Linked DNA regions of Tamandua tetradactyla. The protein of the gene in region 2 purifies or fractionates together with the protein of the main gene of each other region. This does not show direct contact. Links are inferred from orthologs where the notes say so. Each region holds a gene or a part of one and is shown on either strand. Other genes may lie near its edges.

The links.
Region 1: the proteins of GIPC1 (region 2) and SH3BP4 purify together in Homo sapiens (affinity purification with mass spectrometry; 4 studies listed by BioGRID and IntAct, with this or other methods). This does not show direct contact. The link is inferred for Tamandua tetradactyla from reciprocal best matches to the Homo sapiens genes GIPC1 and SH3BP4.

What each region holds. Positions count from the first base shown.
Region 1 is NC_135329.1:212,017,257-212,028,163, forward strand, and holds the start of SH3BP4 (SH3 domain-binding protein 4), read left to right. Parts: upstream 1-6,233; 5' UTR 6,234-8,576; coding exon 8,577-8,727; intron 8,728-10,645; coding exon 10,646-10,907. UniProt on the Homo sapiens protein: May function in transferrin receptor internalization at the plasma membrane through a cargo-specific control of clathrin-mediated endocytosis.
Region 2 is NC_135337.1:88,469,162-88,480,602, forward strand, and holds the start of GIPC1 (PDZ domain-containing protein GIPC1), read left to right. Parts: upstream 1-6,785; 5' UTR 6,786-7,075; intron 7,076-7,088; exon of another isoform or gene 7,089-7,378; intron 7,379-7,475; exon of another isoform or gene 7,476-7,599; intron 7,600-8,301; exon of another isoform or gene 8,302-8,391; intron 8,392-10,526; 5' UTR 10,527-10,581; intron 10,582-11,441. UniProt on the Homo sapiens protein: May be involved in G protein-linked signaling.

The DNA.
Region 1 (10,907 bases), on a different chromosome or scaffold from region 2:
GATGGCATCTGACTTTTTAAAACGATCTGGCAGCTAACTGAGGGGTGGATGGCGGGAGGGTGAAGTTGGAGGCAGGCAGACCTGGGAGGAGCCGATGGCCGTAATTGAGTTGCGAGCTGATGGTAGAGTGGGGTGCCAGGAAGAGGTCGCATGGGGGACATGTCTGAAGGTTGAGCCGCTGGGAACGGGGGTTTGCCCGAGGAGGTTTTTCGGCTGGTTGTGTGAAGTCGCCATTTCCCAAATGCTGAAGACCAGGGGAGGGGGGTGCGTGGACCTGGGGGGTTGGGGGTGCCCATCGGGCACTAAGGTGGGCCGTGAGGGGTCTGAGCCTGCGGTCCAGAGGGGAGGTGGGCTCAGTCCTGAGCCTGGTCAAGAAGAGAAGAGATGGTGCAGCCCAGAGCTCTGGAGCATTCCAGCATTTAGAGGCTGGGAGATGAGGAGGGTGGATGAAGGCCAGGGAAGTAGGAGGGAGGCAGAGGGCAGCGGCGCCGGGGCCCGGGCAGCTGGGGGCTGCTGACAGGGGCTCAAGGACATGTAGAAGCTGGCTCATGCTCGGACCCCTGCCCGCTGTTTCCTGAGAACCGTGACTTGGCGTGGGTCCCTCCTGCCCTGGCTGAGCCTTCTGGATTCAGTCCTGGGCTGCAGCCCTGTGCTGGGGGGTGAGTGAGGCCGCTTCAGAGTGGGCTGTAGGTGTGTCTGCTGCACTCCCCGTCGTATGCTGAGCCCCGCGAACAAGGGCGCAGGCGGGCACAGGTGGGCACAGGCAGGCCCTTGATAAGTGCTTGTTGGGTGAATGATGGGACAAATGAATGAGCTAGTTAATGAAGTTCACTCATTCACTTAATGAAGTTCACCGGTGACAGCACAGAGCTCCTGGGGCTCAGACCTCATGATCCTGGCTCCTGACCTCTCCATGCCCCAATGTTCCCAGCTGTGGAAGGAGGTCCCCTGTCCTGGGAATGGTGAGCAGAGCGCTTGGACATAAGGTGCTCCGTCAGCGTTTGCGGGGACCCCTGAATTCATCCCCTCTAGGGCAGGATTCCTAGCAAGTTATCACTGCTTCGTTGTCTCATCTCCGTTACTTCAGAGCCGCAGTGGGCACCTCCTAGGGTCCGTCCCTGTTTTCTGTGCAAGGGTGTTGCATTCATCTGCAAGTGACATCTGCCTGTTAAAGAAGGGGCACCCACCCCTTCACCCCAGCCTCCCACCCCTAACTCGGGGGTGGAAGAAGGGACAGCTCAGTACTGGTTCTTCCAAAGGAGATTATTTTAGAGACCTGAAGTTTAAGGCTTGTTCTAACTTGATGACTTTGAAGTATTGCACAGTTCTGCTTCCCTCGAAACTGCCAACGAAACTCCCTGGTACTCTTTGCTCGTCTCTCGTGTCCCCACGACTGCGATCCGCCCCCCGGGAGGAAGGTGACTGCGTGGCCCAGGCAAGCGAGGGGCTCCCAGGCCTGGGTCTGAGTTTGTGGCTCCTTAAGGTTTTCTTGTTTCTTGGTAGGGAGGAGACTCGTGCACACGTGCTCACCCCTGCACACACACACACACACACACAGTGCTGACGCATATCCAGGGAGGCGGGTGACCAGCGTTCGTGCCCTAACCTTCCCTTCCTGTATTTTGCAGCATTTCATTGCGCACATTTTCTGGCGTATACGCAAGTAGGGGCAACAGTCCCGTGGACCTTTGTGACCCGGTTACAAGGCAGATTGGCGCTTCATGCCCTCTGACCCCAGCGCTCCTTGGCAGCAGAGCAAGGAGTGTGTAAAGGCGGGGACCTGAGCTCGGGCGGCCTGGATCCGAGGCCCCGGGGTCCTGGCTCCACAGACTGTCGCGGGTCACTCTCCAGGGAGGACCGTGATGCGTGGGAGGCGGGAGGGGAGACCTGGGCGTCCCGGAGGCGAGGGCCGTGGGGAAGGCAGGACGGCATGCGCTGCTTTGGGGGTCGTGGTGGGCAGTGGACCTGGAAAGATGAGTGAAAACCAAGACACGGAGGCCTGCGTGTGTCAGGCTGAGCGATTTGAACTTTGCTTGTTCAAAGTGGGGGGCAAGCCCCAGAGGTGTGAGGCTGAGGGGCTACGGGACCCCCAAGACTGCTGTGAGGAAACTCGGGGCCTGCGTGAGGAGTTGGTGGGAAGAGCCTGAGCGCCTCTGGGACTGTGCAAGGGGCGAAGGGCTGGGGGGAGGGGCGGGGGGGGTGAGAGGCGACGAGAGGGGGTGTCCACGCGGAGAGAGGGGGTCCGGGAAGCCCAGGTCTGGTCCGAGCTGGAGGGTGATTTGGAGGTCAGAGCTCAGAGGCCGCAAGGAGGTGAGGTACCTGGGGGAGCCATGAGAGGGGCTTTGAGACTGAGCCCAGGGGGCTCTTTTATAGGGAAGGGGCTTCTCTTGTAGGTGGGGAGGAAGGTACTCAGGGAGGAGGAGGAGGCGGAGGCACAGAGCTGGCCTCCCGGTGGGGTGGTGCGGGGGCAGCAGTGCCGGGTGCAGATGGCCTCTGTGCAGACGGTGGGGGGAGAAGTGCAGGACACAGCTTTGCCCTCACCCTGAGGGCACCAGGCAGGGGAGAGGCCAGGAGTGGGGCCTGGCCAACTTGGGCCTTGGGGCGGGCTGCCCTCTCCTCCTCTGCCTGCCCCCCCACCCCAGGCCACTGCCACCCTGGGCTCTTCGTCTCGCGGCAGCTCTGGGGACTTGCAGGAATCTGGGCCCTGAAAAGCTCATCTCCTGCCCATCACCCGGAAGAGACCCCGACTTTTCTTCCAGCTGCTTATCAGGGTGTCCTCCGGGTGCCCCACTTAGCAAAGCAAAGCTTGCTGTTGGCTCCTCCCCGGCCCCGGGTAAAACCAGCCCCATCTGGGCCCTCCACACCTCCAGACGTGGGGGCTGCCCAGGGCGTGAGGAGGCCCTCGGGTGGTCTCTCTGCTGCCAGCCCAACCCTGCTCCTCAGTGTCTCTCCTAAACCATGTCAGTGGTTTTCAAGGAAAATGGCAGCACACCTTCCAGTTTATCTTATCTGCAGCCAAAGTTATCCTTCCTGAGTGGAGACCTGCTGTGGCTTGCGGGGACCCCGGGGACTGCCCATCCCCGTCCTGGCCATGCTGTACCCTGTTTCTCCCTGGTACCCACTGAGTTTTTTGGGCCTCCGTGCGGGTTGTGCCCATGTGCTCTGTCTGCCAGGCTCTTCCTGGCAGTGGCACTCGCTGCCACGTCACCTGGGCAGCTCCCCAGCCTCTGCCAGGACTCAGGGTCCTCAGGAGCAGAACCACGGCCAGGCCTGTCCACCCCCTACCCTGGCTAGCACGGCCCAGGGCACAGCGCCACACCCGGGTCCCAGAACAGGGGGTGCCGTGAGGCTGTGCAGCCGTGTCCCCCTTGTGTGCCCCCTTTGGCTATTTTGTGGACTCCCCCCTTTAGCGACACATCAGCCAAAAGGCTTTCAGAGGAGGCACGAGGAAGGTCCCCTTTATCACGGAGCCCCTCCTCGCCAGGTCAGAGTGGGGTCTCCTTGAAGAATTCCTGGGGTGCTTCTTCCCGCGGCCACCTGGGCTGGGGCATGCCTGGGCCGCAGGGACTCCCAGATTGAGGAGTGTGTTGGTGGGGGCCTCTGCCCACGTGGGAGCCCGCCGGGTCCCCAGCCTCCCAGCTGGCAGCTTGGAATTGAGCTGTGGCCTTGTGACTCGATGTCCCCAAATGCTTCTGCTCCGTCAGCCTATAGGTCAGATTTAGAGCCCACCCGGCAAACAGACAGTGGGCTTGTCATGGATTGAATTGCTCCCCCTCCTCCCCAATAAAAACCCCAGTCCCGTGACTGTGATTCCGATTGGAAATAGCACCTGGGAAGATGTCACTAGCTAAGGTGAGGCCAGCTGGGTTAGGGTACGGCCTAATCCAGTGTGGCCCTTGTCCTTGCAAGGGGAAGTTGGGGCACAGTCAGGAGAAGGACCCCGGGGTGGGGGGAGAGCGCCCCGTGACGGAGCCCTGCGCCACGGGCAGGCCATCTCCAGACTGCTGCTGAGGTTGCAGCGGCTGCAGGTCTCCGGCTCCGGCCTCCGGCAGTGGGAGAGCCAGAGCCCTGGTGTTTCGGTGCTTTGTTATGACAGCCCTAGGATGCTTCGGGCTCAGAATTATCCAACCCCCAGTCCCCCAGCCACACACACAAACACTTTCCATGTTGATTCTCTCCAGTAAACTAAACTTAGTCTTTTGGGTCAAAAGGAGTTTTGTGCCATCTCTCTGTATTTCAGCGTATGTCCTTGTTCCTGCTGAAGGCTGTGGCCGCCGGGGCTGGCGTTGGTTCCGCCGGGGCAGTCTGTGCCCAGCAGGGCCCACCCACAGGGTCCCCTGGCCTGGGGGCTCCTGGTCCATGCAGAGCAGTTTCTGGAAAGTCTGGGTGGCTGCTGGACCTCTGCGGCCAGCCCTGCACACAGCTCTGTGCGGCCAGGGAGCTTCGGTCCCGGTGGGGTGGGGTAAGGGCCACCAAAGCCTCAGGCCGCACGAGGGCCCTGCCGGAGGGGGAGTGTGGGGTGGGGAGCAGAAGTGGGCAAACATGCCTGAACTCGGGGACGGAGATAGCTGGCACCCCTCCCAGCCTGGTGCCTGGGCCAGCCTCTGTGGAGGCGAGTGGCCCCCCAAAGTGCAGTGTTCCGCGGAGGAGGCGTGCGGGGTGCGGGGTTAGGGAAGGAAGGTCTCTACGCTGTAACTGCACAGGCGGGTGTCTCGGTTGTCTCAGAACAGCCCACGAGCTGCCTGGCGCTAAGTGACAGCAAGGTGTCAGCACCAGGGCTGGAGGCCACAGGGACCCGACCAACCCCTGAGCCCCCTGAGCCCCCCAAACTCTGCACAGGAGTCTTCCTCGCCTCTTCCACCCTCGTGGTGGCCCCAGACGTCCCAGGGCAGGTGGCAGTATCTCCCCATCCGCCCCCTTCTCCCTTGCCCAGAGTTCCCCTTAGGAGGAGAAGCCCATTGCCAGGAGTCCTGGGCTGGCGAGCAGGGGCGTGCAGGAGCACAGACCGACGGCTGTGGACCCGGTAGTTCTGGGGTGAACTCGCTGCCCTCAGGTGCGCCCGGCGCTGAGCGGTGGGGCCAGTGCAGCCTGCTTTGGAGGGGACAGCGTGTTCCTGTGGACCCGTGCGTGGCACCCACTGCCCTGTAGCCAGCCCTCCACGCGTCCTTTCCTGGCCACACCCCGCAGTGAAGGGTCTGCTTAAAGCCAGCCTCCTCGTTCATCTCCCAAACCCCTAAAATGCCCAAGGCCTATGCCCCCACCCCACCCCCAGGAGGGACTCCTATGCTTTGCCACAGCAGTGGTCTCCGCTGTCCTGGTGAGGTCACAGTGGTCAGCTAATGTGCCACAGTTTCATCTGCATAAGTTACACTGGACGTGCCTCACCTACTGAAATGGCCTCTTCTCTATTTTGTTTATTATTATTATTAAGTCCATAGTGAATGCATGGGCAGGGGGCATATCTGCTCTCCTGACCCTCAGAGCCCACCACTGAGGGCAGTGGACATGCCCTCTGCTAACCGACCCCTGGGGCCCTGGCCCGGCAGGGACCGTTCCTCCAGTGAGAACGGCTATTACCTGGGCCAAGGGAGGCTTTTTCTCTTTTCCTGAACCCTGGAGCCAGCAGTGGGGGTTGCACAGATCCCATTTTGTCCCTCTCTTTGACAGCAGTGAATGGGCCTGCCAGGTGCTGGGACCCATCTGACAAACCCCGCTGTGCCCCAGGAAGAGTGGACACAAGACGCCAGGATGCTGCTCGGGTTGTCTGTGCCAAGGGAGCCGATGAAATGGGCACAGAGGGTTGTGAGCAGACTTCTCCTTGCTCTGCTTTCTTGAGCCAGGAAGAATGGAATGGGTCTAGGTCTATCTTTATTGTAATATCTTCTGGAGAAAAGAATTCCCACTTCCCATCACATTTCTATTTAACGCATGTGTCACTTGCTCAAAGGAAATGCTTTCTCTCCCCCCTCCCCCCTTCAGGTGGAAGGACATTGCAGAGTGGACACCACAGGGAGCCTTGGTTGCTTGAGACAGAAACTGCTGCAATCGCTGGAATAACTGGAGGAAGAAACATGAGCCCTTAGCAGCTTGGTCTGGAAGAGGGGTCAGGATGGCAGCTCAGCGGATCCGAGCTGCCAACTCCAGTGGCCTCCCCCGGTGCAGGTCAGAGGGGACTCTGATTGACCTGAGCGAAGGGTTTTCAGAGACGAGCTTTAATGATGTCAAAGGTGAGCCGCTGGTGAACTGGACTTCGGCAGAGGGAAGAGATGGGGATTCACAAGCGCATTACGTCCCCAAAACTTGCCTGTATAAAGGCTGCCAGTTTAGCCTTCAGATAATTAAATTGTAGTTCTCCAACTTTGTCCCGTTATAAATTAAGCCCTGGAACAGTCTCCACTTGTTTTGTTTTTTGGGAGCGTCAGAAAGTTATGAATGTTCCCCAGGTATTGAAACCCCGTCTTCATAAGGAATATGTTTTTCTCTTTTCATCCGTTTTGGTAAAAGGGATGGAGTTTGGTGGTAGAAAAATCTACAGAAAAGGAGAGTGAAGTAAATACATCAAATCTTGAGAACTGTTAGAGGGAAAATGGAGAATAAACAGAGGTCTAAGGCAGAGGTCAGCAACTCTTTCTTGAAAGGGCCAGAGAATAAATATTTTAAGCTCTGTGAGCCGGTCTCTGTCACAGCGACTCAGCTCCACAGTAGTTCCGAGCATCTGTGGAAATGGGTGAACAAGTGTTCGTGCTGTGTCCCAGTAAAACCTTATTCACCAGACCAGGCGGCCGGGCATCGTGGGCCAAGCCCTCTTCTAGAAGGTGAGTCCGGGATTTAATCACCCAGAGGCTCTAGGCTTCTCCAAATGTCCCATAAAATCAACCTGTCATTGGGACACCGAGGAAGAGCCATGGCATCATTTTCTTCCAGAAAGTCTTACCTGGTCTCTCCAGGCCAGGCACAGCCTCTCCTGCATGCCTTAGTGTTTTGTCCTCAGCATCCTCAGCTTTCTCGTAGCACTTACCCACTGCCCTGCATAGAGCAGGCTGAGCTGGGGGTGCTTTATCTTCAACCTTGAGTCCTCAGCCCTGTCATAGCTTAAGCTCCAAGTAAATGTTTTTTGAGCTGAACTTCTGTCCCCCAGATAAGATTGTGGCCTTCCATACTGGTGTCCTAAAAATTACGCCCACTGTGTTTTTCTCTTTCTAACTGATTAGCTTCTCCCTTCCCACTTTCTCCTTAACTTCTTCCTCTTCCTGTCGTTTCCTTGTGCTTGCAGCCCTGAGCCTTCCTTTAAATGTTCTACAAAAGAAAATATCAGCAAGGGGACCCATGAGGGTTTATTAGTACGCTGGCTGCAGTTGTTTTGGTGATGCGTAATTGTTTTCTTTGTAGCCCAACGAATCGGGGTTAGAGCTGCAAAAATGTGGGCATAAATTGGCATAGTTAGGCCAGCACCTTGAAGCAGGGGAAGAGTGCTGAATTCTTTAAAATTAAAGCAATCTGGGGAAAATGCATTGGCTGTTATTTGTAAAAGGCAACTGCACTGGGGATGGAAAACAAACAAGACAGCCCTTGATGGTGAACAGGCACAGGTCGGCTGGTGGAGGAGGGTGTTGGGGAAATCTGGTCCTGGGTAGGTCAAGGGGCCAAGGAGCCAGAGACCTGGCGTCTGGCCCAGGAAGCCTCGTTCAAAGCTCGAATGGGGGAGAGCGCTTCGAGTTGGGAATTTATTCCAGCCAAAATAGCCTGCCCCCAGTTACTTTACTGCAAGCATTGCGTGCCTAAGAATATGGAAGGATGGGAAATGTTTAGTCAGTGCCCTGAACTTCCTGACACGCAAGGAGGATTTTTGGTGTTAAAATCAAGGTAGCTCCGAATGAGGGCAGCGCTCCTGGGAATTCATTAAGATGGAATTGAAGAGGGATTTTCTGGCATCTGATCAGACAGAAGCACTCCCTGGTGCCCCCGTGGCCATACTGGGAAGGGAGTGAATGTCCTCCGCCCTCCATGCCACGGTGCCCGGCGCTCCTGATAGAAGGAGCTCTGTTTCCCAGGAGAAACCTGCCCCTCGGATGAGCTATGTCACCTCCCCCGTTCTGGAGGAGAGTGCTTGGGGTTTTCACTAAAGCCATTTTTATTCTTCATTCTGATGGAACTAAAGTGATAATTGGCATCGAGACACTTTCTCAGGCTGTGTATAAAGCATGCTCAGTTGCTTTGGTTTCTTAATTTTAAAAATTTCACTGTAAGGGAATTGTTCTGGGAGAAACATAAGGAGAATATAGCCTTGAGTGATTCTAACAAGATTTTAATGGCCAGCCAGCTTTCTTTAATCTTCGTTTGGCTTTCGTTTTTATATGGCATTTTCAGAACTGTGTCAAGGAAGCAAAAGATGGTTTATCCCATTGGGACCAGTATTGGCCAACCCAGGAGGGAGAAGTGAGCGCTCATTGTCTGTTATTCCAGCCTGACTCGCCTCCTCTCTTCCCAACCTTTCGCTTTACACTGTTTCTTTTACTTTCTTGTTCGAATTTACTCCCGTCCCTTGAGTGCACAGTGACTTGTCTTTGTGTGATCGTATGGCAGGGGGATTGCAGCTTTGCCTTTGGCCGACACTTCGATCCAGTAGCCAGCCATGCACCTCCCTGGGTATTATTAGCAGCCAAGATGACCATTCACTCCAGGAGCACTTACTTGGGCGCCTACTGTGTTCCAGCCTTTGTTTCCCAGGTATACAGTAGTGAGCAAAACCAGTTCTACTGGAGCTTACATCCAGATGGAGCCCTCCCCTGAAAAATGTAAAGCACACAATGCATTTTTTGGTGCCAAGTGCTAAGGAGAAAAATAAACTTAGGAAGGGGGTTGGAGATGCCAAGTTTAATATACATTGGGTGACACCTTCTGTTGGGCTGAACATCACTAGCCAAGCACTTTACCGATGTAGTTTCACTTACTCCTCACCATGGATAGCCCTCGAGCAAAGACCTTTCTTTTTTCTTCATCATGTCCATGAGGAATCACGGACCCTGGAGGTCACTCAGCTTGTTTCTCTGCCACACCCCATGGAGGTGTGGCATGGAGGATCCCTGGAATTTTCACAGGAGGGTCATGGGTGATGACCTCTAAGGTCGTCAAGGCAAATAAATGGACACTGCCTACTTTGTTTCCTAAGGCTTTGTCGAAGAAATGCAGTTTAATCTTCATCATTTCCTTTCACAGGGAAGGGAACTCAGCAGGTATGTTTTTGGAGGGCCACTTTGATGGAATTGGATCCCAGCTGACTTAATCATAACTTATAAAGGTTATGATTTATATACCTTTACACCATACACTATAAAGTACACTATACACAAAAACCTATACACTATAAAGTATAAAAGTAGAGTTCATCTAGAAATACTGTCTTTCCTTTTCTCCTTTGGGCAGGCAGCTGGAAAAAGTTTTCTTTGGCTCAGTAGTTTGTTACAAGAAGCACAAAATATGAGCGAACTGAGAGACAGGACATAGTAGGTGTGAGGCCCTAGGAAGTAATGGCGCTTATTTCCATCAGGAAGAACTTGCTTCACCCTCTGAATATACTTTCCCATGCGTGGGAGGCAGAGAAAAGACTTAAGATATCTACTTGTATTCATTAGATTTCAAATGACACCGCTTGTTCAGTGACTTTATTTTTTTGCTGTTGGAATTGCTCTCTGCCCTGGTAACACACAGTTTCGTGCCAGATATCCGTGATTAACTTGGTTCGCTTTTTTTTTTTCATGGGCAGGCTCCGGGAATCTTTTCTTTTTTTTTAATTAGATAAGCCGTAGGCTTACAGAAAAATCATACAGCGAGGCCCACTTTTCAAGTGGTAGAATCTTTCAGATGACTTAAATAATTGTTCAAAATAATGCAAACTATGACCATAAATATAGCCTTTGATTTTCAAGGCCTGTGAGAAGATCTATTTCCACGTTTCTATTTTGAGTGATCAAAGTAGAGGTTGAAAGAGACTGACCTCAAAAAATCTTATTTCATCTCTATAAACGTTTTGGTGAGAAGTTTAAGAAACAGGCCTGGTTGTCAAGGGAGGCGCCCTAACCCTAACCCTAAGCCTTTATGTGGGTATTTCGGGTTGAAGGTGGAAAATGTGGAATCAGCTCACAAACATCACAGAGGGATTTCTTGAACCTCTGTTTCCAGAACATAACTACATGGCCCGCTGAATGCAGAAGGTCTCTGTGTTTTCTGAGTAAATCAGTCAGTTCTCTATCAACTTAGGAGGCCATCAACCCCGTAAGGAGTTAGCTAGATGACAAAAAGTTGGGTCCAGCTGAAGCGTTTTGAAGTACTGCACTGTGTTGTTTCCACTGGGGATGGTTTGGGGATTCTCTTCATGGCCTTTCCAGCCTGTCTTAGCTGGATGGGTCAGAAAGTGGTGGAGTGTGGTATACCAGTAGCTCCATCATCAATCAGCTCACTGGCCAGCAGATGACACGCCAGACTTCACACTGGGCTGTTCCTGTTGGAGAAGAACCAGTTAGGTGCCCAAGCTGTTGTCCTTGTCTTGGGTATTTGCTTCTTCAATCCCTTTTCCCCTGGTCTTGGAAGATGTTCTGTAGCCCAGCTGAGCCTGGTCTTACCGTCTGTTTCTCTGTGTTTTGCACAGTGCCTTCTCCCAGTGCCTTGCTTGTGGACAATCCCACACCTTTTGGAAATGCAAAAGAAGTGATCGCAATCAAGGACTATTGCCCGACTAACTTTACCACCCTTAAGTTCTCCAAGGGTGACCATCTCTACGTCCTAGATGCATCAGGTGGTGAGTGGTGGTATGCACACAACACCATGGAGATGGGCTACATTCCCTCCTCCTACGTGCAGCCCTTGAACTACCGAAACTCAACGTTAAGTGACAGTGGCATGATTGACAA
Region 2 (11,441 bases):
CCGCCCAGCAATATTGAATGAGAATTAAAGGACATGGCTTTTGGGGATACACAACAGATTCAAACCAGCACAAAAGATTTTTCTGGTTTTGTCATAATTTTCCTTTGGGGGGCAATGGGTGTTTATTTTATTGTCTGATAAAGTCTCTGAGATATTTCATCAGTCTCTTTTTGTGAAATATGAAGGCCCTGAACTTCCATCTTGAAATAGCAGAAGACACATAATGAGTATTTTCTATTAAAACCTGAGCTTTAAAGCCACTCATTTTCCCTTCCATGGCCCAAAGAACGCTTATATGATCTGCTGCCTCTACGACTGCCCAAGGGCCAACGATTTCCTCTGTGTCTATAATTATTCAAACAATCTCCTCTTTGGGGGTAGGGGTGGGGTAGGAGAGACAACCCAAGGGAACACTCCAAAAGCTCCCCTTCAGCACAACCCCAAATTTCCTTGCAGTCACCAACTATGTCCTTATAACCTGTGCATCACCAGTACCCAGCACAGTGCTTGGCCCAGAGCTGGCCCTCTGAAAGTTCAATGAGTGAATGGCTGCAAGAGCGAACGAATGAATGAATGAATTAAGTGACCAAGTAATTAAAACAAGAGGACCTGCAACATTTGTCTTGTGGTCACTTAACTGTGCAGAGGGAGGACCACTGACCCCCGGCATTTTCTGGGGGCCTCCTCCCCCACCCAGGACCCCAGTACCCACCAGGGAGAAGTGGATGCCCAGCCTGGCTGCAGGAGAAGCCCCCTCTCCTGGGGAAGGGGGTGGGAGCTGTTCCTACCTCACAATCCATGCATTTAGTCACCGGGCACAGTTGACCAGCCCAGGGCATTTCCTCAACTCCCAATCTCCCTAGAAACACCGACTCGGGGGTCTGAGCTCCCTGGGGCTCCCAAAACAAATGACCCCAAACTGGACGGCTTCAAACAACAGGAATGTTTTCTCTCCCAGTTCAGGAGGCAAGACTTCCAAAGTCAAGGTGTGGGCAGCGTCGGTCGGTACCTCCCGGAAGCTCTTGGGGGCACAGTGGTAGGAGGTGGCCGGCTGTGGGGCAGATGGTGCTGGCTCTGGGGGGCCTTCAGCCGGAAATCTGTTCCATGCCCCTCTCCTGGCCGCTGGTCCCTGCCGTCTGCCCTCAGGGTTCCACTCTCTCCATCTGCCCCCACACAGCCTTCCCTTCCATGTGTCTCCATGTCATCTTCTCTCCTATAAGGATCCCTGCCATTGAATTTAGGGCTCGAATGTATTTAAGAGCCTTAGCTTAATTACATCTGCAAAGACTCTTCCCAAATGAGGTCACAGTCACAGTGAGAGGTTCCGGGTAGACTGTTGTTGTTGTTGTTGTTTTGTTGGGGGGCATCGGGTTGGGGGCAACCATTCAATCCGGCACCTGGGCAAGGCAGGGAGCTTGGAGGGAGGGGCTGGCGGGCCCCCCGGATGGGGACCACGTCAGGGCCTCGAGGGCTGATGGGGCCGGACCAGGGAGGGCAGGGCCGGGCGTGGCTGGAGATAAGCCAAGCCAGAGCATCTGGGCCCCACTGGGACAGGCCGAGTGCTCAGGGCAGAGGAGAAGCTGGTTCCAGGGAGGGCAACAGCGTGATTTGCTTTCACCCAGAAGTCAGAGCTGAGCCCTGGATGGCTTGTCACCATGGGAACCCATGTAGCCATGTCACTCCAACTCAGTATGGGCATGGCCAGGCTCAAAGGGAAACACGGGAGGGTCCTTGGGAGAGGAAGGGGCTCCAAGGCCCTCTGGCCACTGTGGGGGCCCAACTGGCCGGAGCTAAGGTGAGAGTCCTGAGATGAGACTACTGATCCGGGTGGGCGAGGATAAGTTCCGTCCCAGAGGGGGCACGGAAGAGGTAGGAAACAGTCCAAGACGTGTTTTGGAAATAGAATTGGGAGGATTTGCTGACAGATAAGAGGCAGGGGTGTGGGAGAAAGCCAGGTGTCGTGGGTTGAATTGTATCCCCTAAAAAGATATTTTCAAGCCCCAACTCCCCAGTACCCTTGAATGTGGCCTCATTAGCAAATAGGGTCATTGCAGATGGAAGTGATTACATTAAAACGAGGGCAGACTGGAGCAGGGTGGGCCCTTAGCCCAATACGAAGGGGAGAAGCGACGCAGAAATACAGAGAATACAGCCGTGTGAGACAAGGCAATGCTTGGAGCAACGCATCTACAAGCCAAGGGTAGCTGGCAAGCACCAGAAGCTGGGAGAGGCTGGGAAGGATTCTCCCCTACAGGGTTTTGGAAAGAGCACGCCCCTGCTGGCCCCTGGATTTGAAACTTTGGTCTCCGGAGTAGTGAGAAAATAAGTGGCTGTAGTTTTAAGCATCCCCACCCCGCACCCCCACCACCCGCCAAGTTTGAGGTCCTTTATTACGGCACTCTCTAGAAAGCAGCATGGCCAGCACTGCTCACGAGAACTCTGTGAGCTGTGGAAGTAATTTTCAAAACAATTTTTTTTGCGGTAACATATATATGACATAAAATGTCCTATTTTAACCACTTTCAAGGATACAATTCAGTGGGACTAATTACATTCACAATGTTGTACCACCATCACCATCATCCATCGCCAAAACTCTTCCATCACCCCAGAAAGAAACTCTGAACCCATTAATTATGCACTTCCCATTGCCCAGCCCCCTCCACAGCCCAGGCATGCCTGTTTTTTTTTCCAGGCATGCCTCTTGATCAGGTAGGTGCCTTGGGAAATCCCTGACACCCTCTCAAACATTACGGACTCCCAAGCTAATAGGCCAAGCCCTTGATCTTTCTGTTTGTTTGTTTTGTTTTCTCACTTCATTGTTCTTCATTCTTTTTATGTGAAAAATTGCAGTTAAGTGCAATTTGCTCTAGTTTGATTAAAACGTTACAACAGTTACCAATTCAAAACTATTAATAGATAACTTTTCCTGAAAAATGAACTGACTGTAAGTGAATAAAAGGGAACTGTGGAGTAGCTTGTGTAGTTGAACTGATGAGTAGGAGGAAAGTGGCACAAAAAGAAGATGGCCAGGAAGTAAAGGTCAGATCACATTGGAACTCATGATCTATGGTAAGGTTTTTTTGTTTTTTTGCTTTGTTTTGTTTGTGTGTTTGTTGCATGGGCAGGCACTGGGAACTGAACCCGGGTCTCCGGCATGGCAGGTGAGAATTCTGCCACTGATATGGTAACGTTTATATTTTATTTTAAATGCAGTTGAAAATCAGTGCATATTTTAAGCAGCTCTGTGGATATGAATTATAGAGAAAAAGAACAGAAGCAGAGAGAGAGTAGTTAGTTGATAATTAGGAAACTATTGAATCCAGGTAAGAAATGATGGTAGCTTTGAATGGAGAGGTGATATAGCTAAGAGAGCAAACAGGGTTTGCTGGTAGATTTGGCTATGGGGGATGAGGAAAGGGAAGAACTTGAAAATTCCTCCAGCTTCCCAACTCCCAGTCACAAACGTACTTTCTCATCCCCCCTGTATGCAAATCAACCATGTTACCCCACTATTGTTTGATGCCACCTGCGTAAAATCAAAGGATGGCATATGTGGCCTTTCCTATCTCTCTTACCTCCTGCTCCAGCTTCTTATCTCTTATCACTTACCATTATTCCACCATAGCTTTCACTAACTTCTCTAAAAGAGATATAGATATTTTCATATTTGTATTGATTTCGTATTCGTGAGACCATTATCACACTCAACAGAATTAATAATGAATCAATATTTGATGACTTCTAATAACTAGTTCATAGCTACATTTTCACAATTGTCTCAAAATATCCTTTTACAGTTGGTTTGCAAAATACAGTTGTGAAGCCTTTGGCAAAGAAAATAACTTTAAGAGAAGATGCTGGAGTTCCAAAAGTCTGACTTTAATACAGAAACTTCCAAGCTGATGTCATGACTAATAGATTCCAGGAGATTATATGATGATGTAAGAGCTTGTTTGTTTGCTTGCTTCCTTCACCTTCACTCAAGAAAGGCTGATGGGTCAGGACCACCTCTGTCAGCTGTGAAGTCACGTGCCTGGCGTCTGTTGGTCCCTTGCTCCTGAGCTCTGTTGCCTTCAGCCTCTATGCCTGTGGGGGTTCGTCACTGTGCTTCTCCAGGGCTGGCTTTCATCTCTTAGCTTCCCTTGCTCTCTCCAGGTTCTGGCTAGCTTAGCATCTCATGGCGACATCCGCTGGGCTCCAAGCATCTCCAAAACATACGTGTCTCTGTTTCCTGAAGCAGCTGTTCTCCAAGTGTCTACATCTGCTCTCTGTTGGCTCTGAGGCTTCTATTATTTCTTCAAGCTCTTGATCTTGAAGCTTGACCTTATGAAACATTTCTGTAGTGGAGAAGCTAAGGCTGCCTATAATTACTCCTAAGAGTTACTTCCAGAAAACCTCTTTTGTTGCTCAGATGTGACCTCTCTCTCTCTGAGCCCAGCTCTGCAAGGAAAATCATCCTCGCCCTACGTGAGACATGACATCCTGGGATGAAAGTCTCCCTGACAATGTAGGACATGCCTCCCAGGGATGCGCCTGGCTCAGGCCCTGTGAGACCGACAATGCCTACCTGACCAAAAGGAGGAAAAGATACGTAACAAAATAAGGTATCCCTGGCTAAGAGATTTCAAATAGAGTCAAGGAGCTATTCTGGAGGCTGCTCTTATGTAAGCTTCAGCTAGATATTGCTAATGGCCATAGTTTGCCAAACCCCAACCAACAGTATTCCTGAAAACCCTAAAGAACACCCTGGGTTCTATCTGAGACTCTATAAAGTTTCCGTCACTAAGTTAGTTTTTCAGAAACCTAAAACCTATGGATAGTCCATAAGCCAGATAAACCCTGAAACCAGAGGTACTAGTCTCTCCAAAAACATCAGCCAGTGTATCTCCCTGCCCCGTATTGTTGACACCCCTTTTCAACATGAAGACCTTAGAATGGTCATTGCCCAAATACCCCTAAATTATATTGGGAGAAGGATCAAAGGAGAAGGAGGAGCTGTAACAGATAAGATATTTAATGAATGAGTATGACTGCTGAATCATTATATTGATATTTCTTTTAGTCTCCAGTGTCTTGGAACAGCCAGAAGGAAATACCTGAAATTGTGGAACTATAACCCATACCATACTTTGAAATCTGTTCTATAACAATTAAAATGTTCTTTGAAATCTGTTCTAGTTTGCTAGCTGCTGGAATGCAATATACCAGAAACAGAATGGCTTTTTAAAAGGGGAATTTAATGAGTTGCTAGTTTACAGTTCTAAGGCCAAGAAAATGTCCCAATTAAAATAAGTCTAAAGAAATGTCCAATCAAAGGCATCTAGGGAAAGATACCTTGGTTCAAGAAGGCCGATGAAGTTTAGGGTTTCTCTCTCAAGTGAGAAGGCACATGGCGATCACAGTCAGGGCTTCTCTCTAGCTGGAAGGGCATATGGTGAACACGGCATCATCTGCTAGCTTTCTCTCCTGGCTTCCTATTTCATGAAGCTCCCCGGGAGGCATCTTCCTTCTTCATCTTCAAAGGCCGCTGACTGGTGGACTCTCTGCTTTGTAGTGTTGCTCTCTCTGAATCTCTCTGAATCCCTTTCTCCAAAATGTTTCCTCTTTTATAGGACTCCAGTAAACCAATCAATACCCACCCAAATGGGTGGAGACATGTCGTCCCTTAATCCAGTTTAACAACCACTCTTGACTAAACCATATCAACCAGGGAGATGATCTCATTACAGTTTCAAATATACAGTATTGAATAGGGACGATTCTACCTTTATGAAATGGGACTTATATTAAAACATGGCTTTTCTTAGGGGGCATACTTCCTTTCAAACCAGCACAAAATTTATCACTTTTTTGTATATATTTTATATTTCACAATAAAAAAAGGTTAAAAAAAATTCTGGTGAGAGCTCGCTCATCAGTTTAGATCTAGTTTCACCTGTAGAGCTGTGTTCCAGTAGCTTTGATGCTTGAAGACGATTGCATAATGATATAGCTTTTACACTGTGACTGTGTGATTGTGAAACCTTGTATCTGATGCCCCTTTCATCCAGGGTCTGGACAGATGAGTAAAAAAATATGGATAAAAATAAATAAATAATGGGGCATATAAGGGGTCAAATAAATTGGGTAGATTGAAATACTAGTGGTCAATGAGAGGGAGGGGTAAGGGATAGAGGCTGCATGAGTTTTTTCTTTTTATTTATTTTTCTGGAGTGATACAAAATGTTCTAAAAATGATCATGGTGATGAATACACAACAATGGGATGATATTGTGAGCCACTGGTTGTACACCATGTATGGCCTCAATGTGTGTGAAGATTTCTCAATAAAACTAGTTTTTGTTTTTGTTTTTGTTTTTTTTTGTTTTTGTTTTTGCACGGGCAGGCACCGGGGATCCAACCCAGGTCTCCGGCATGGCAGGCAAGAACTCTGCCTGCTGAGCCACGGTGGGTCACCCAAAACTAGTTTTTAAAAGAAGTATAACATTTCCCTCAATTTCTGTACTTAATTCTATTAAAATGGGGGCCTCCTGTTCTTTTCCTTCAAGATCTCTTCTCACTTGCTCTTCAATAAATTTGGCAGATTTTTGTTCATTAAAAAAAAGGAACCCCTTTGACATCCTCCCGCCCTCTCCAAGTGTGCGCAGGAGGCAGTTCAGATGCCAGCCTCGAGCAGGGCCCTAGGCACATTCCCACTGACAGCACTGGCCCAGCCTCAGCGGGGGTGGCAGAGGTCAGCCGAGCAGGAAGGGAGGGACAATAGCTGCGCCGCGTTGCCTGGACAGTCGCCGCGTGTGCCAGCCGGGTGGGGCCAGCGGGGCAGCCCGCAGCCGCTGAGCCTGGGCCGGCTCTCTCCTTTCAATTTGCCCCACTGCAAGCCTGCGCGGCGGGCACACTGGTCGCACAGACTCAGTCATTCCGCGAGGCGCCAGCAGGCTCGCTGCAGCCACAGACTACAATTTCCAGAATGGCCGCGAACCCCTGCTCCAGCTCCAGCTGCCCGAAGAGGCAGCTTTGAACTAAAACCAGGAATTTTCACCTGACCTGGGAACCGAGCGTCCCGAAGTGCCAGGTGCTGTGTGTGTGTGTGTGTGTGTGTGTGTGTGTGTGTGTGTTTGTGTGTGTCTTTATTTCTCGGATCTGTTCCTGCTTGGTAAATCCCGGTAACAAAACAAACCTGGAGAGGATGAGATTATCTCCTGGCGCACACTACACAGTTTGCTGAGACGCTTTTCCGCACCAACTTCGGGACCAGAAGGGATAAGAGAAACAGCCCCTGCCTTCAAGGAACTCGATCAGATGGAGGAGGCAGGCCCTCCAAAGTTTACCTCCCTGAGAGGGCAGTGGCTTGGGCTGGCTAGATTCTCTGCACAAAGTAGGTGCTCGATCAATTTTGGCCAAGGGAGCCCACACCGAATAGGCTGTCTCGCTCTCGTGACCATCCGGTTGCAGCTCTTTACGTTGCCTTCCAGGCTTCTAGGATATTGCATTTATCCTTCAAGTGTGCTGTCTCTAGGCCCCATCTCCGGGCCTTTGCACAGGCTGGTTCCTTCCGTTAGGAGCTGAGTCCGCCTATCCCGGGATGTGTCTGCAGAGGTAGGTCAGCGCCTAGCACTGAGCAGCTGCATGGTAGATATTTGATGAGTGATTGAATGAATGAACGAATGAATGAATGTCTTGTCCATTGTGAAGTCCTAGGACGCCGAGACACTCAGGCCAGCTCCCCCCTCCCGCCTCCCATTCATCTCAGCTCCCCCCGCCCCCGTCCCCGCCCGCCAGTCTGGAATGAATGCATCTTTTGATTCACCCCGAGGATGGCCGCGCCAGGGCCGGTAACCGGGTTAGGGGCTGCCCTCAACACCCTCTTCCCCGCCCAGACCTCCTCTAGGGCTCGCTTTTGCGGACGTTGGGAATTCGCATCTTCTTCCCGAAATTCACCCTAGGTCACCAGACCCACGCCCGCCCCTTAACCCCCAGCCCTCCGAACACTCCAGCGGACACTGGGCGAGTAGCACGTGGTCCAGGGGCCTCAGCTGCCCATTGGCCGCTCGCCTCCTTCCCTCCCGCGATTGGCCGCCCTGCCGCGGTTACCCCCTCCGCTGCCCTGCGGTGGTACAGCCCGCCGTGGCCTAGCTGGGGGGGAATAGTCCACTGTGCCGCGCCGCAGGGGGATCGGGAAGAGCCACGCGGGGCGGAGGGATCCCTCTGGAATGCGGTCAGGCCCACCCGCCGCGGGAAGGCGCGGATTGGCCGCGAGCGCCGGACCGCAGGCGCTGATTGGCTAGGCGCGGGCGCCGGCCCCGCCCCTCCTGGCCGCTGCTGCGGGAGAGGCCCCGGCCGGAGTTTGCGGAGGGCCGAGCCCGGCGCGCTCAAGAGGCGACGGCCCAGGTGAGTGTCCCCCGCGGCAGGACGCGGACGCTCGGGGACCCCGGGGCGGACACGCGGGGTCGCGGACACGCGGGGTCCCGGCTGATCCGCTGTGCGCGGGGTGCGGTCGAGCCGGTGGACGCGGCTGGAGGTCCGGCTTGGACACGGGGATGCCCGCCGCCCCTTCCCAGGGGGGCGCCTCCCCTCCCGCTGGGGACAGTGGGCAAAGGCGTCTCCGCCGCTGGGCAGGGGTCTCCGGATGCTCCCCCTGCCCCCCTTGCACAGTCCCCATCCCCACGGGGATGGGCGCGAGTCTAATATTTCTGCCCCCTATCCGGACACCTACCGGGAACTGGCCGCGTCCGAGCCCTCCAGGGCTTGTGGGGGGCCCCGGGAGAACCAGGTCCAGATAATGGTAATGAAAAGGTGGCCCCGGCTAGGATTTGAGTGCTTCCGTGTCAGGCAATTAGCATGCATATCACTGAGTCTAAACACCTCGTGGGAACTGCTGTTACTTCTTTTAGAGGTGAGGCTGCAGACACAGAGAGGTGGAGCGACTTGCCCCAGGTCACACAGCTAGTAAGTGACTCAGCTGGGACTCGAACCCATGGCTCTGAGTCCTGAACCTCTGGACTCCATGCCCAGTAGCTCCGTGGATCAGGTGCACTGGACCAGTTGCTCTACCAGCTTACCCTTGCCCCTACCTTAACACCCCGGAGCCACACCTCCTGGGCTTTGCCTTCCCCCCAACCCTGAAGTCACCAGACACCTGTCGCTCAAACAGGAAGCTGCTCCCATGTTCCTTCTCCTCTGAACTGGAAAGGCAAAAATCAAATACCTCCTGGGTCCTGAGAAAAGAATGATATGGGGCAGGGGCAGGGGCCTGGAGTCCTAAGCCCTCTGGATTTCCCAGCCACTCTAGGCAGTCTGAGTCTAGCCCAGGCAGTAGGCGTTCTCCCTGGAAACACCCAGGAGCCGGTTTTTCAAGACTGAATCAGAGGCCTCCTGCCCTCATTCTTGCCAAAGCGCTACCCTGCTGGAAGGGGGAGCCTGGGTGTGGTGTTCTGCCCCAGCCTTGTATGAGCTGCCAGGGACCCTCTTTCCTACTTCCTGCTTGCCCCACTGCGCTTCTGTTTGGCTCTGGGGTTGCTAAGTTTCACACCCTTCCCAGGGATGCAAGGGAGGGGATGCTGCAATTCCAGCTTGTAGCTCTGTGCTGGGGGGTTGAAGTTTGTCTTCTCTGCCCTCATGATCAGATTTGAGGAGCAGTGCCAATATAACAACCCCATAGCAGGCATGTTCGGGGGCTGCTCTGAGGATAGGGGTCTCAGGACAGTAAGAACGAGGACATTCCACAAATATTTCATTCATTCCAAAAATATTTACTGAGCATCTACTAAGTGCCCAGGCCCTGTTCTTGGCATAAAGAGTGCAACAGCGATCAATCTCTGCTCTCTGGGAGCTGACATTCCAGTGGAGGGAAGCTGGCAACACAGAAGTTAACAAGTAAATAAATAAAGAAGATTTCTGCAGATTGTGATAAATGCAAAATAGAAAGGGGTGATATGATAGAGAGAAAAGAGAAAGAAAAAATCTCAAGGGAGGTGACTCTGGAGCTGAGGCCTGAATGACAAAAAAGGCACCAGCTCAGCAAAAATCCGGCAGAGGGCACAGCCCTGAGACTGGATGGAGCTTGGCGCAGCATGCCTGGGGCAGGAGATGAGTTCTACAGCAGCCTATGGTTGAAGGAATTTGGAGTTTTTCCGCTGTAAGATGGGGAACCATTGAAAGGTTGGAGGCAGGGGAGTGGTGCAATCTGGTTTACATTTTAAAATAGAGACAGCGTTAAATAACGGCTCAAGCATGGAAGACAAGCGTTCTGTCAGGACAACATGTAATTAAGTGCATTGGCTTAAGTCTCTGGACCACAGGGGTGGTTCCAGCAGGCTGGGACAAACCAGGGTGGCTGCCTGGAGGAGATGGTGTGGAGTTGGCTTTATCAGGCTGAAAGGACTGGGATGTACCTTGGCAGAATGGGGAAGGGGAAAACAATATTAATAGCAGTAATAATAACAGCTTCCTAAAGTGTGTGTCAGAGCAGAAAGTTAGTTATATGCATAATCTCCCTAAGAGATGGGAATTCTGCCTTTTTTCAGATGAGGGAACTGAGGCCTCGTGAAGTGAATTGACTTGCCCACAGTCACACAACTGGTAAGTGGCAGGGGTGGGATTCAAACCCAGGCCACACTGCCTTTCTGGGCCTGGAAGGCAAATTCATTAAGCATCCTCACCACCATTAGTCCCAGTTTGCAGGTGAGGACCCAGAAGCTGGCCTGAACTGGGGCAGTGAGTTGTGAGGTAGGAGAGAGAACAACAGAGAGGTTAAGATACCTGCTCAGGGAAAGGGGGAAAATTCAACTTCCCCAAGTGGAGAATTCTTGATATTCTCACAAGCTGTGGGGACAACCAAAGTAATAGGCTGAGCCCCCAATCTTGGGGTTTGCTCATATGAGCAAACTTAATCCCACAAAGGATAGGCTAAGCCTACTTAAAATTAGGCTTAAGCGTCACCCCCAAGAAAACCTCTTTTGTTGCTCAGATGTGGCCTCTCTCTCCAGCCAACACGACAAGCAAACTCACCGCCCTTCCCCTCTCTATGTGGGACATGACTCCCAGGGGTGTGGACCTTCCTGGCAACGTCAGACAGAAATCCTAGAATGAGCTGAGACTCAGCATCAAGGGATTGAGAAAACCTTCTTGACCAAAAGGGGGAAGAATAAAATAAACAAAATAAAGTGTCAATGGCTGAGAGATTCCAAACAGAGTCGAGAGGTTATCCTGGAGGTTATTCTTATGCATTAAATAGATACCACCTTGTTAGTCAAGATGTAATGGAGAGGCTGGAGGGAACTGCCTGAAAATGTAGAGCTGTGTTCCAGTAGCCATGTTTCTTGAAGATGATTGTATAATGATATAGCTTTCACAGTGTGACTGTGTGATTATGAAAACCTTGTGTCTGATGATCCTTTTATCTACCTTATCAACAGACAAGTAAAATATATGGAATAAAA